Saccharomyces cerevisiae S288C: one gene and its partner. The gene in region 1 interacts genetically with each later gene. Each region holds a gene or a part of one and is shown on either strand. Other genes may lie near its edges.

Evidence for each region. A genetic interaction does not mean that the proteins touch.
Region 2: mutations in LAM6 (region 1) and YAL064W together harm fitness more than expected from each alone (negative genetic interaction), as found in Saccharomyces cerevisiae (one large-scale study listed by BioGRID).

What each region holds. Positions count from the first base shown.
Region 1 is NC_001144.5:276,894-284,041, forward strand, and holds LAM6 (Lam6p), read left to right. Parts: upstream 1-1,968; coding exon 1,969-4,050; downstream 4,051-7,148. Other genes in the region: RGR1 (Rgr1p), read right to left, coding at 1-1,733; RFU1 (Rfu1p), read right to left, coding at 4,126-4,728; BUD20 (Bud20p), read right to left, coding at 5,063-5,563; 60S ribosomal protein uL16 RPL10, read left to right, coding at 6,034-6,699; FMP25 (Fmp25p), read left to right, coding at 6,979-7,148.
Region 2 is NC_001133.9:17,830-23,147, reverse strand, and holds YAL064W (uncharacterized protein), read right to left. Parts: upstream 1,583-5,318; coding exon 1,298-1,582; downstream 1-1,297. Other genes in the region: YAL063C-A (uncharacterized protein), read left to right, coding at 463-753.

The sequences.
Region 1 (7,148 bases):
CTGCTGCATGACCATCCCGTGTTTTCAAACATGGTGGTTAAAACATGAATAATCTTGTCCAGTTTCAGCTGCTGTAGTATTCTTGCCAATTCCTCTGGACCTTCAGCTCTATTTATCTTTGACGCGTAATTTGATAATAGTGGAGTAGGATTCCTAAAATAAAACTGCCCGCTCAATAAATCAATTTTTAATTGAATAGGCGCCATGGAAACACATGTGGTAGGGAGTTGAAATAATAGAACATCCGAATTTTCTTCGTCTTCTTGGAATATATCCCTTGCCAACAGCTCCGATCTGATGATTCTAGCATGATTGAACATAATTTCATCCAAAATCCCTTCGATATTAGATACAATATTGTTATAAATTACAGGCATATTTTTGGCCCTTGATGCACTCTGGTTGTCCCATTTTAAGATAAGACTTTCTGTTGTTCTTTGAATGCCAATAGTGATCTTACCCTTACTGTCCATTTTCCCATTCAGCCAATATCTAACTGTAATTGTACTTTTTTTAGAGTCATAGTTATGGATCAAATTACTTTTGGAAAATTTACCGCCGTTGGCCAGCTTTAAAAACTCTCTATGAACCATGTATAGCTGTAATGTCAACACGTATTTGTGCAGAAAATTGTATAGGGATAATAATGGATCATTACTTTTCAAAAGAATTTCATTGATCAACTTCTCTAATCTTGGCTTATTCAAAGGAAGGTTATTTCCGTTGGAACTTGAGTTTTCTTCATTGTTCTCACTATCGCCGTTAGTCGAAGTAGCTTCTGTAACTGCTGAAACAGTTTGTTCAGCTTCCGTGTTAAACAACAATTTTAAATCCACAAAAAACAGAGGGGACTGTCTATTAACAGTCGATAACTGGATTTCAAATTCATTAGGGACAGTAAAGTAGATTCTACCGTTTTTGATATGATAGCTGTTTAATGGTTTAGGAATGTTCATTAATGCAATTTTTATTGAGACAGTCAAGTTCAAATCTTTTAATCTCTGTAAAATCAATCCAATGGGAACTTTGGCCATTCCATCTACCATATCCATAGAGTTACTGACACCGCTTAATTTAAAGTTGTGTGTAGGTAGATTTGGCCTCCCAAGACTCAAAACTTCCAAAGCGGTGACCAAATCCACGTTGGGCAATTTAGCATTGGTCATAGAGTTTAGACTGCTTTTCAAAGCCCAAATACAATTGTTGACATTCATGTTAGTCGTTCTAAACCAGTTCAACAGATCGATTAGTACGTGAAAGTTGTTTTGTTTTATAGTACGGGTCCATTTCACAAGCACGTAAAGTTTCAAAAATTGTGTCCTTAGGAATATAATCAGCTGTAAGAAACGTATTTTCTTTGCGGAGTTAGGCTCATTTGCCTGGGTGTGAACATTAGTTTTCATGTACTGAGCAAGTTCCTTCATTGTAAATACCGTCAAGTTCCTTATTACTAATGCCAGACTGACTTGATTAATCTCAACATGCGGCAACGCTGGCGGAGGCGCACTTGTCATAGTCGCTGCACTTGTATCTTTCGGTACCATTTCTAGAGATTCTTTTTGGGTGGCCGTAGTTTCCGGGTCGGTTGCAGAAGGGCCATGCAGTTGAGTGTTCTTAACGGGACCCTGTTGCTCTTGCCCATTCTGCTCGGACCGGTTCTTCAGTGCGTGCATCTCGTTAGAAAGTCTCTCCTCATTAGCCAGCATTTGTGGGGATCCTATCGTGGTAGTCATTGCCCAGCCAAGAAAACCCTATACTTTCCTGCCACTTTTTAACTCTTTTTCTGATGATCTTTACAACAGACCTCTACTAAACAATTGAAAAATTCACCGTTTTTACTTGAACCAGCGACCGTGCGATGGGACAATCGTTTAGTTAACAATAAGCGGGACAAAGTAATTAAATTTAGTGGCATCTAGAGAGAATAATTGAACGCAATGAAGAGAGCATGGTACGTTGAATTGTAGAATGTGGGGGGATAGTATGCGCGAGCTTGGTGACGCTATGGATAATGAGTTGAATGCAGTGAAGCCGGTGGTGGAAGAAGGTGGCATGGATGGTGCCAGAAAATTTATTAAGGGTAAGAGCTTTCAGAAGTCTTCTACCGAACATATGTTGATTTCGCCCGGTAGGGATGGTTCAGTGCCATTGAATGGGTTGAAATCGTCGCCGGCAGACCCGCACTTGTCTGATGTTAATTCTATCTTGGACAATCATCGTGGCGGTGGCGAGACAGCTTTGACGTCTGTAAATAATATTATCATGGCCACTTCGACGAATGGGGACAGTGATGGGGTTGATGGAGATGCCAAGAGGCCGTCTATTTCTAACTGTTCGTCGAGATCATCATTTTTTGACACCGTACTGAGCACGTTTTCCCTAAAATCAAATTCACAAGATACGGTTACTAATGAAGTCAAAAATATTGAGGTCCAGTTTGCATCCGAGGAGGCTAATAAAAAATTCCGCCAAATGTTCAAGCCATTAGCTCCTAATACGAGACTTATTACGGACTACTTCTGCTACTTCCACAGAGAATTCCCCTATCAGGGCAGAATCTATCTCTCCAACACACATTTATGTTTCAACTCAACCGTGTTGAACTGGATGGCAAAGTTACAGATTCCCTTGAATGAAATTAAATATTTAGATAAGGTCACCACAAATTCAAGTGCTATTTCGGTGGAAACCGTGACTAACAGGTACACTTTTTCCGGATTCATAGCGAGAGACGAGGTTTTCCAATTGATTACAAGAGTTTGGTCAAAGGAAAACTTAACCAATATCAATGACGTTTTGGAGGTTGATGAGAGGGTCTCCAAGAAAAAGGGAATATCATCGACCCCTTCTTCCATATTCAACAATGTTTCTACCAATGCATATAACGATTTCATATCGACAACCACTACTGAACCAACAAGCAGGGCTTCCTACATGAGCGAGAACGACATGCTCATCGAGGAGGCCATAAGGTCCGTGGACGATTACATGGGCACACCAAGAGCATCGCCATCTTCTTCATCTTCGTCGTCATCGTCGTCATCGTCTTTAGGCTCTTCAACAACTTATTATTGTAGGCCCGTATATAGGTTAAAGCCAAACGCACCATTTCAATATGAGGGGCCATTCCATGTACAAGAAACCATGGACTTTCCTTATAAACCTGAGGCTAATAATGAATACGTGCTTCTGGAACGTCAATTCAGCGTTCCACCCGGCCTACTTTTCATTATGATGTTCAATGAAGATAATCCAGTTTTTGAGTTAAGCTTTTTGAAAACTCAAGATTCGTCCAACATCTCACACATAGGGACTTTTGAAAAAGTCAATAAAGATGGACAACATTACAGAGAATTCCAATACACCAAACAGCTGCATTTCCCTGTGGGGCCCAAATCCACAAACTGTGAGGTAGCGGAAATTCTTTTACACTGCGACTGGGAAAGGTACATAAATGTTTTAAGTATAACAAGAACACCAAATGTTCCTAGTGGTACCAGTTTCAGCACCAGAACGAGGTACATGTTCCGATGGGATGACCAGGGGCAAGGTTGCATATTAAAAATAAGTTTTTGGGTGGACTGGAACGCATCCAGTTGGATCAAGCCAATGGTAGAGAGCAATTGTAAAAATGGACAAATTAGCGCCACTAAGGACTTGGTAAAGTTAGTCGAAGAATTTGTAGAGAAATACGTGGAATTGAGCAAAGAAAAAGCAGATACACTCAAGCCGTTGCCCAGTGTTACATCTTTTGGATCACCTAGGAAAGTGGCAGCACCGGAGCTGACGATGGTACAGCCGGAGTCGAAACCAGAAGCTGAGGCGGAAATCTCAGAAATAGGCAGCGACAGATGGAGGTTTAACTGGGTGAACATAATAATCTTGGTGCTCTTGGTGTTAAATCTGCTGTATTTAATGAAGTTGAACAAGAAGATGGATAAGCTGACGAACCTCATGACCCACAAGGACGAAGTTGTAGCGCACGCGACTCTATTGGACATACCAGCCAAAGTACAATGGTCAAGACCAAGAAGGGGAGACGTGTTGTAACAGAGTAATCATGTAATATTGTATGTAAGGTTATGTATGTTCGTATGGTATGGAAAAAAAAAAAAAAAAAGGATGCTATGTGGAGAATGTAAGGCGTGGTAGCTCCGGATAATTCAGTCTGTAGGCTTCATCACGGGCAGTGGCCTGACTCTGAGAGCTTGCTCCGGTATTAAGTTGTGCGTTTGAAATTTTCTGGAAAAAAGAAATTGATTGGTTGAAGCTATACTCGTCGAAAGATTTCTTCGGCAGTGGTTGTTGCTCCACCTGCACGGGAGTTGTGTTTGCGTTTATGTTCGGCTTGGCTATATTATTAGCGAGTGATGTTTGCAATTTGCTGTATTGAGAATCAATTTGGGTGCGTAAGCTTTCAATAATTTTGCAGACCGCAGGCACTTCCAACTTTATGAGTTGCAGGTATTCTCTTTTATGAATATACGATGACGACGATGACGACGACGCATCCATGCGCAAAAGCTCAGGGTGTCTAGATAGTTTGTTAGTCAATAAATCCACATATCTAAAATAATAAATAAACGACAGCGACAAGTCGTTGGCCTGGAACGCACACTGTGCCTTTTCCAATATGCCGATGCATGTTTTCAGGTAAATTCTCAATGGTATCGCCGGATTGAAGCGATAATCCTTAGCGTCCTGAACCAATTGCTTACTAGACTTCATGACCTACCGGGGCCAGATAAAGATGCGGAAGGAAGAGAAAAAATGTATAGTGGTTGGTGAACCGCAACAATAATTCGTGCCAACACTTTAATCGAAGCAAAAATTGTCTTGTATGTTATTAATATTATCTATCTAACCATTGATTTACGTATAAAACTGTCGATGCTCATCGCCTAGCAATGAAAAAATTTTTTCTTTTTTTTTTCATTATTTCTCTTTGTTGCGTACTTTTTTTCATTGCGTTTCGCGGCAAAAGCGATTCGAGTTGACTGGAAGTGTGTTATACTATAAAAAGTGTATATGCCTATTTTTGGTTCTGATCTTTACTTTACTGTTAAGTACTGGCTGAGGCAGTAGACTCTGCCTCTGTTACGGCAGCGGTATTCGCCTCGGCATCAGCAGCCGCCCACGGTAGAGTAGGTTCTGTTGTTTTGACGTTTGCCAAGGTACTGTCCAAATGCTCCTTCAGCAAGGCCTCATTACTTTCCTTCTCCGGACCCACCGATTGCGTGATCTCCTGTACACGGTTCAAGAACTTGTTCAAATTGTAGCCCGCAGCAGCATCAGAGACTTCTTGTGTGTAAGGGACACCCCTCAACTCCTTGACTCTTCTTTTGTGCACTTTGCCCTTTAAATGCGTTTTTAACGCTATAGCAGTCTCCATGTATTTGGCACAGTGTATGCAATAGTGCTGACCAAGGCCCGGTTTGGTTTCATCCAATGGCTGGTTCAGAAGCTTCTGTACTGATTCCTTGGTGGACAAATCGTTATAGATCAGGTCCAAGTCTCGTGTTCTTCTTTTAGTCTTGTATCTCTTCACCGAATATCTACCCATGATGCGCTATTGTTTTATCTTCACTTGTCTGTGTGTTTAACTGCCTTTCAATTCACCTCATCTCATCTCCCGCTACTTTCCATATATAAAAGCAAAATTAATTTGCTTTTTCCCCTGTCAGTATAAAAAAATTTTCCGCAGGATATAGAAAAAAAAGAAATGAAATTATAGTAGCGGTTATTTCCGTGGGGTGCTTTTTTACACCTGTACATCTTTTCCCTCCGTACATTTTTTTTATTTTTTTTTTTGGTTTTTTTTTTTCGATATTTTTCCCTCCGAAACTAGTTAGCACAATAATGCTGACTAAGGAAACTTTTCATCTCAGAATTGATGGTCAGTTTGGTTTCTCTAGAGAATAGTTTATAAAAAGATGTTGATGTGGAGCAACCATTTATACATCCTTTCCGCAAGTGCTTTTGGAGTGGGACTTTCAAACTTTAAAGTACAGTATATCAAATAACTAATTCAAGATGGCTAGAAGACCAGCTAGATGTTACAGATACCAAAAGAACAAGCCTTACCCAAAGTCTAGATACAACAGAGCTGTTCCAGACTCCAAGATCAGAATCTACGATTTGGGTAAGAAGAAGGCTACCGTCGATGAATTCCCATTGTGTGTCCATTTGGTTTCCAACGAATTGGAACAATTGTCTTCTGAAGCTTTGGAAGCTGCTCGTATCTGTGCCAACAAGTACATGACTACTGTCTCCGGTAGAGATGCTTTCCACTTAAGAGTCAGAGTCCATCCTTTCCATGTCTTGAGAATCAACAAGATGTTGTCTTGTGCCGGTGCGGATAGATTGCAACAAGGTATGAGAGGTGCTTGGGGTAAGCCACACGGTTTGGCCGCTCGTGTCGACATTGGTCAAATTATCTTCTCTGTCAGAACCAAGGACAGCAACAAGGATGTTGTCGTTGAAGGTTTGAGAAGAGCCAGATACAAGTTCCCAGGTCAACAAAAGATTATTTTGTCTAAGAAGTGGGGTTTCACCAACTTGGACAGACCAGAATACTTGAAGAAGAGAGAAGCTGGTGAAGTCAAGGACGACGGTGCTTTCGTTAAGTTCTTGTCCAAGAAGGGTTCTTTGGAAAACAACATCAGAGAATTCCCAGAATACTTTGCTGCTCAAGCTTAAGTTCTTTTCAAACATTTGAACTAACTTAAAAGAGAAATTTTTTTGATTTAAATTCTAGTTTATTAAACAGTAAATATATTTATACATTATTGTAATACATATAATTATGTGTTTTTTTAAAGTTCAGCATGTTGGGTAGTGATATATCCTGAAGTCAATGGACACTGTTGCTTTTTGTATACCAGCAGGAAAAAAAAAAGCCTGAGCTGCAGTAACGAAGAATTGTTGAATGCGTCTAACAAGAAAGGGAGCAATCGATAACAGGGACGTGCGCCGCTAATGTCATTCAGATTATTCACGAGGACTTCTCAACGTCTCCCTCGCCTTAACTGGGTTAGTCCCATCAGGCGATACGCCAAACAACCTCAATACGATGAAGCAGAGTTGTTTGCAGAGAACATTAACCATGGCGCATATAAAGCAAAGAAAAGGCCATCAGACGAGCATTT
Region 2 (5,318 bases), on another chromosome or scaffold:
TCACGAGCACCTAACTACTGTATTTTGGAATTTTGATAAACTTCAAAACGGGAACGAAGTGTTAAACTTAGATGCGGTTGACTTAAGCTTTAAAAGAGGAAAATAATGACTGATGATAAGAATTCAACAACGATTCAAAGCAGGTGAATTTCCATTACGTTTCGCTTTTCAATTGAAAAAAATTTGGTGGTTATTCGTTTCTTGCTTGACCTCTTTACTTTTTATACTTCTGTGATGAGAAGCAAGTTCGAGGATTTTACGATAAAGCCTACTGGTTATATTTGTATAAATTAGAACGTTGTCCTTATTTCTCTTTTCGAACAGTATCAAAATAAAGTTTTTGATCAGGGCCAGATTCTCTTCAAGGAAGAGATACCTCACGTCTGTAATATCTAAGAGCTAATGTTTCGATCGAACTTTCCTTTGCTTTTTTTCTGGATCTCATGAGGTCCCACTGTATGTATGTGCCCTCGCACAGTTTTGCTCATCATAAACATTAATCATTGGTTTTATGATAAGAATATCGTAAGAATTATTTTAACTTTCAGATTAGATTCCGGCCATATTTCTGACATTTGTTTTATTAATAAAAATTTGGCGAATGCTTTGATAACTGCTGATATTTCATTGTTGAAAAGGCATGATATAAGATGCACAAAGTATATTATAACTTATTATCAGAGATATAGGAACAAAGAAAAAGGGAAATTCATATCTCTATGTAAAAATACCATTATTTCCTCTTCTGTTTAATATGCTGTCCTTAATTTTCATGTTACATTATCAACTTTTGCATTTCAGTGTCCATTAGATCTTGGGACCATTTCCTCAATCTTCATGTCGTCTTTTCACACCGTATATAATATACTAGTAATATAAGTACTAGTCGATAGCTCGCAGTTGAGTCTTATTCCAACAGTTAATGACTCACTGTGCTTTCTGTTGCTGTAGAATTTCTGAGGCATTGTCGCTCTCTTCTATGTGATGCTACAACGGAACTAGGCTTCTTATATATCGTGGTCCTACAAGATCTTGGTATCTCGTTTGCTTACTTTGAAGCTTCACTGATATATAGTACTTAAACCACTTTTATGTTCATGGATAATCGTAATTGTACTACGCTGGTACCAGTTATGAACCCTATCAAATCATCATTGAACACTGCTATTTTTAACTAATCAAGATATATATGCGGCGTACTTTATAATTTCACGACACTATTGAAAGCAAACTAAAAATCAAGTAAATACCTATCCAAGTTGCGGGCTCTGGATTTATGTGGCCTTAAATTTTCGACCTATGGTTCGCTATTCAATATTAGAAAACCAAAATTAGGTACAAGTACTGATTGCGTCCGTGATTTGAAGAGCAGCGTTAAAAGATTACAAGATTTTGCGTGTCTTGGCCGACACTTAACTTTAAGCGTCTCGACTTGGTAACATGAGTTGCCAAAAGTTTTTCTCTCCAATCTGAATATGGGGAACCGGAATCTGTCTTTGACCTGACTTTCAAATTGTTGCATATGTAAAAAAAAAACAGAAGAAATATTATCTTGTCCTTCTAGCGATGCAAAAGGATTCATTACAAATCGTTGCAAAGGCCGAAAAGTTGCAGTATATTCGCATTGCTTATTTGAAGTACGTTTGTATACACATCGATAGTATTCATTAACACCACAACGGCTGAGTATACTATGTCAAACAGCACAATAAAGCCTGTCTGCGATTTTTTCCTCTACGTTCAAAAATCTCATTCAAGGCATAATCCCATATGTTGAAGATCGCTACCCATTGTTACAGGCAAACTGAATTTTTGGAAATGAGCTTGTACTTAGTAAATTTCTCTTTGCTTGCATCTTTTTCTTCCTTGTCAAAAAATAAAAGATACTCATTTTAAAAGCGCAGCCATATTGACTAAGTAAGTAATTATAATACTATGAGTAATTTTTGAGTACTGTGCTCATTTATTAGCTGCTTTTCTGAGAAAGATCCTCGATAATCAACTCCAGGTTAGTGGGGCGCTTCTACGGTCTCTTCTAACCAATTGTTCCCCGTGAGTTGCTTTCTCCGAAAACCTTATTATACATTAGGGTTATAAGAAAATTTTCTTTTTCCCGTAGATTAACTTGCAATGCCGAACTTCTAGATGTCACACCAGACCGTTTGACACCGCCATTTTCCTTCCTTTTCGGAAAAATGTGCCGATAAATGGTAAGACGCGACGCCACCGCTGCGAATATTGCGCTTATGATGAAGCAAAAGGAAAAAGCAAGTTCCCCTTAAATTCGTATAACTGTTTCATCAATCTTTAGTTCTGGCATTTGAAAGTTAATTAAACTTTTCTTCGTGGTTTCTACAGGAGTTCTGCATGTGCGTAATTCGAAGCCTGTGAAGGAAAAAGTATTGTCCTAAACAACAGCCGTAGAATACGTCAACTATAGTTTAAAATATTTTCTGGCTCTACCCGGTGCGATAGGTCTGGCTCTTTTCTATTTACTTTTGTTTGGAGTTGTTGAGGCCGATACCCGTCTAGATGTAAATATGAAATAACAGTTCGAGGTTTTATTACGAGAATGGAAAGGGTAATGGATTGGAGCATGTGTAAATGTCAATAGCAGAAAAAATTTACCGCAAATTGTTTCGTAGTCTTATCTTCATCGGACACTCAAGGGTTGCATAATTTTTACCCAAAGGAACAGTATACTTTTTTAATAAAAAAATCATGTTACCTATGGAGTATTGTAAGCATTTTCAGAAACTCGTCTTTTGAGTTCTAAATGCATCATACAACAACAACAATTTCTTATTACTGTGTCCTTTTGGGATTTTTCAGCCTTCCTGGCTTACCCAAAATAGCCTCTCAAGGTGAAAAAAACCATGCCTGCAAGCGGATCTAAGGATGAGTAGCTGGATTACAATAAATCCTGAATTTTCTCTGAGTGTCAACTTTGTCAGCGCTTGTTAAAGGGCTACTACGCTGAAAAAGAACCTGAACCCCGTTAATAGGTTGACGATTTTATGACTTGGTATGCTATTCCATACGGCGGCTCTCCTGATTGCGGTGGGTCATTGCTATAACAGTAAAATCAAGGAAGATAACAGGAAGAGTAACTTTAGTACAATAAATCTGTTGTCTACCGAGGATTATAATTGTTCGGCTTTCACACTAAGTTGAAAGGGGACTCAGGAAATGACAGGGTACGTTTTAGTTTCTTCAAATAAATCTTCCACACCCAGCTTCAATGTGGTAAACGGGGGAAAGTTGATTAGTTGATGTTGACACGTATATTTAACTGATGTAGAGAAGAACAACATACTACTAACGTCACAGTCAATTGTGCCAGTTTTCCAATCAAGATAATGTAAAAGTAATTGATATATGTTCGTACTGGTTTCCCAATTTCCGGGAAAAACTGTGTACATGGGTGCAATTCCTTGTGGTTATTTCCTTTTAAGTTATATTGCCAACCACATCATAGTACTATTTGCGGTCACTTCAGAAGATATGTTTGCTCCTTTGACCATGATATAGACCAGACCAACTGTACCGCTTCAGACTTCAGAGCATTAGGAATAAGCACCACTATTACACAACCATAGAGCTACTCTTACTGCCACGTAGGTAAAACACTTGCTACTACACACACTCGTAGTGACTCATCTGACTATATTACCGGTTGTTAAGAGGCACCAGTTCAAGCACGCCATCAAGAGTACCGAATAATCTCTTCTGTATCAAGTATTCTACCTTTATGTCTGACCCACGTATTATGTGGAGCAATTACGTATTTTTCTCATATCAGCTTTGTTTTTACTCAACTTTAATATCTTAGAGAAACAGATCTTGATGTTACAGCAAGGTCAAGAAAATATTTTGACAAAAACATACTAGTTTCATCCTTAGTAGTTGGTTCTATGAATGCTGTACTTGAAGCTATTGTTCATAAAATCCTTAAGTTTTACCAACGGTATAATATCCTGCTATTAAATCTGCAATTACTTTTGCGAAAAGAAGGAAAACAGGCAAAACAAAAGCAAAAAAATTGGCATCCCAATTTCTTATAATATAATAGTATAACGGATGTACACCATGCTTTCAATAATAAGAGGTTTGCTGAAAAGGGCAACTATCTGACTAGTTCAGAGCCATGCAAAAGTTAAGGATGAAAATGCCAAATAAGAAGATATTACGGAGTACATTCATTTCAAAAAGAAGAATGTATACTGCTTAGATAAGAGGATCGAGTTTTTATATTTCCGACCAAATAAGCAGTCGAAAACTTTTGATGCACCAAACACCGTTCTTGAGAGCCAAGCACAGATGCAATTGTTCTGCCCTTCTTCCAAATTATGAATTGTGCATCATATCGTAAGGCCAGCCACATAAAAAAAAGGACCAAAAAACTCAGTATGCAGGCGAATATTCATCATACAGTCTAGCTGCCCTCACTACTTCCAAAAAAATGGGCTAGTGTTGTACGGTTTATGCCATATATCCAGAGTTAGCATAACTATGCACTACCGCTTTTCGAACAAAAAGTTTGCGAGACCTAGTTCATTGAATATGACTTACCAAAAAAGGATACTAAGATCCTGATAATAAAGTCAATAACTTGAATTTTAGGTGGAATATCTCTTATGCCTTTATTTTCAACAATCATTATAGACTAACTCTACCAGCAGATTATGATGCCGTTCTTCTAGTCGAGCACATGGTCAAAATAGTCAATAAAAAGGCCCAGAAATGGCGGTAAATTAGTGGTCGTAGTAAGCAAAATAATTTCCTAATTCCTTCCAAATGGGGTTTTCAAAAAGCTGACTCACGTAATTGATCAATACTTCACTAAAGAAGAATCATATGAATAAAACCAAAATCAACACTAATTGAGAGACTTAGCGGCCAAAGCTTAATCATCATTACATAGAGTATATGAAGGGGGGAGTAAGTGAATATGCAAGGGTGGGAAACGGCAAAGTATTTTTATGCAAAAAGCGTATTTACAAATCCCGTAAACTCATGATGTAAATTTTGTAACCAGCTTTCGCTGAGACTATTTCTTTTGCAAAAGAAATATTCAATAAATTAACAATTTTCAAACAAATTACCAATCAATGTTCGATAACTTGCAAGAGAGATATCATCATTTGGCTTTTGTGATAAATTTACAAAACGTAATGTTGTATCGAGATATATTGAGTTACAAGTTTTCCTCTCTTTTCCCGAAGCGCCAGACCCCCATATAAAAAATAAGGTTTATAGCGGGCATTATGCGTAGATCAGGGCTTAAATTTTTCATTGCAGAAGTCCAATTTCAGACT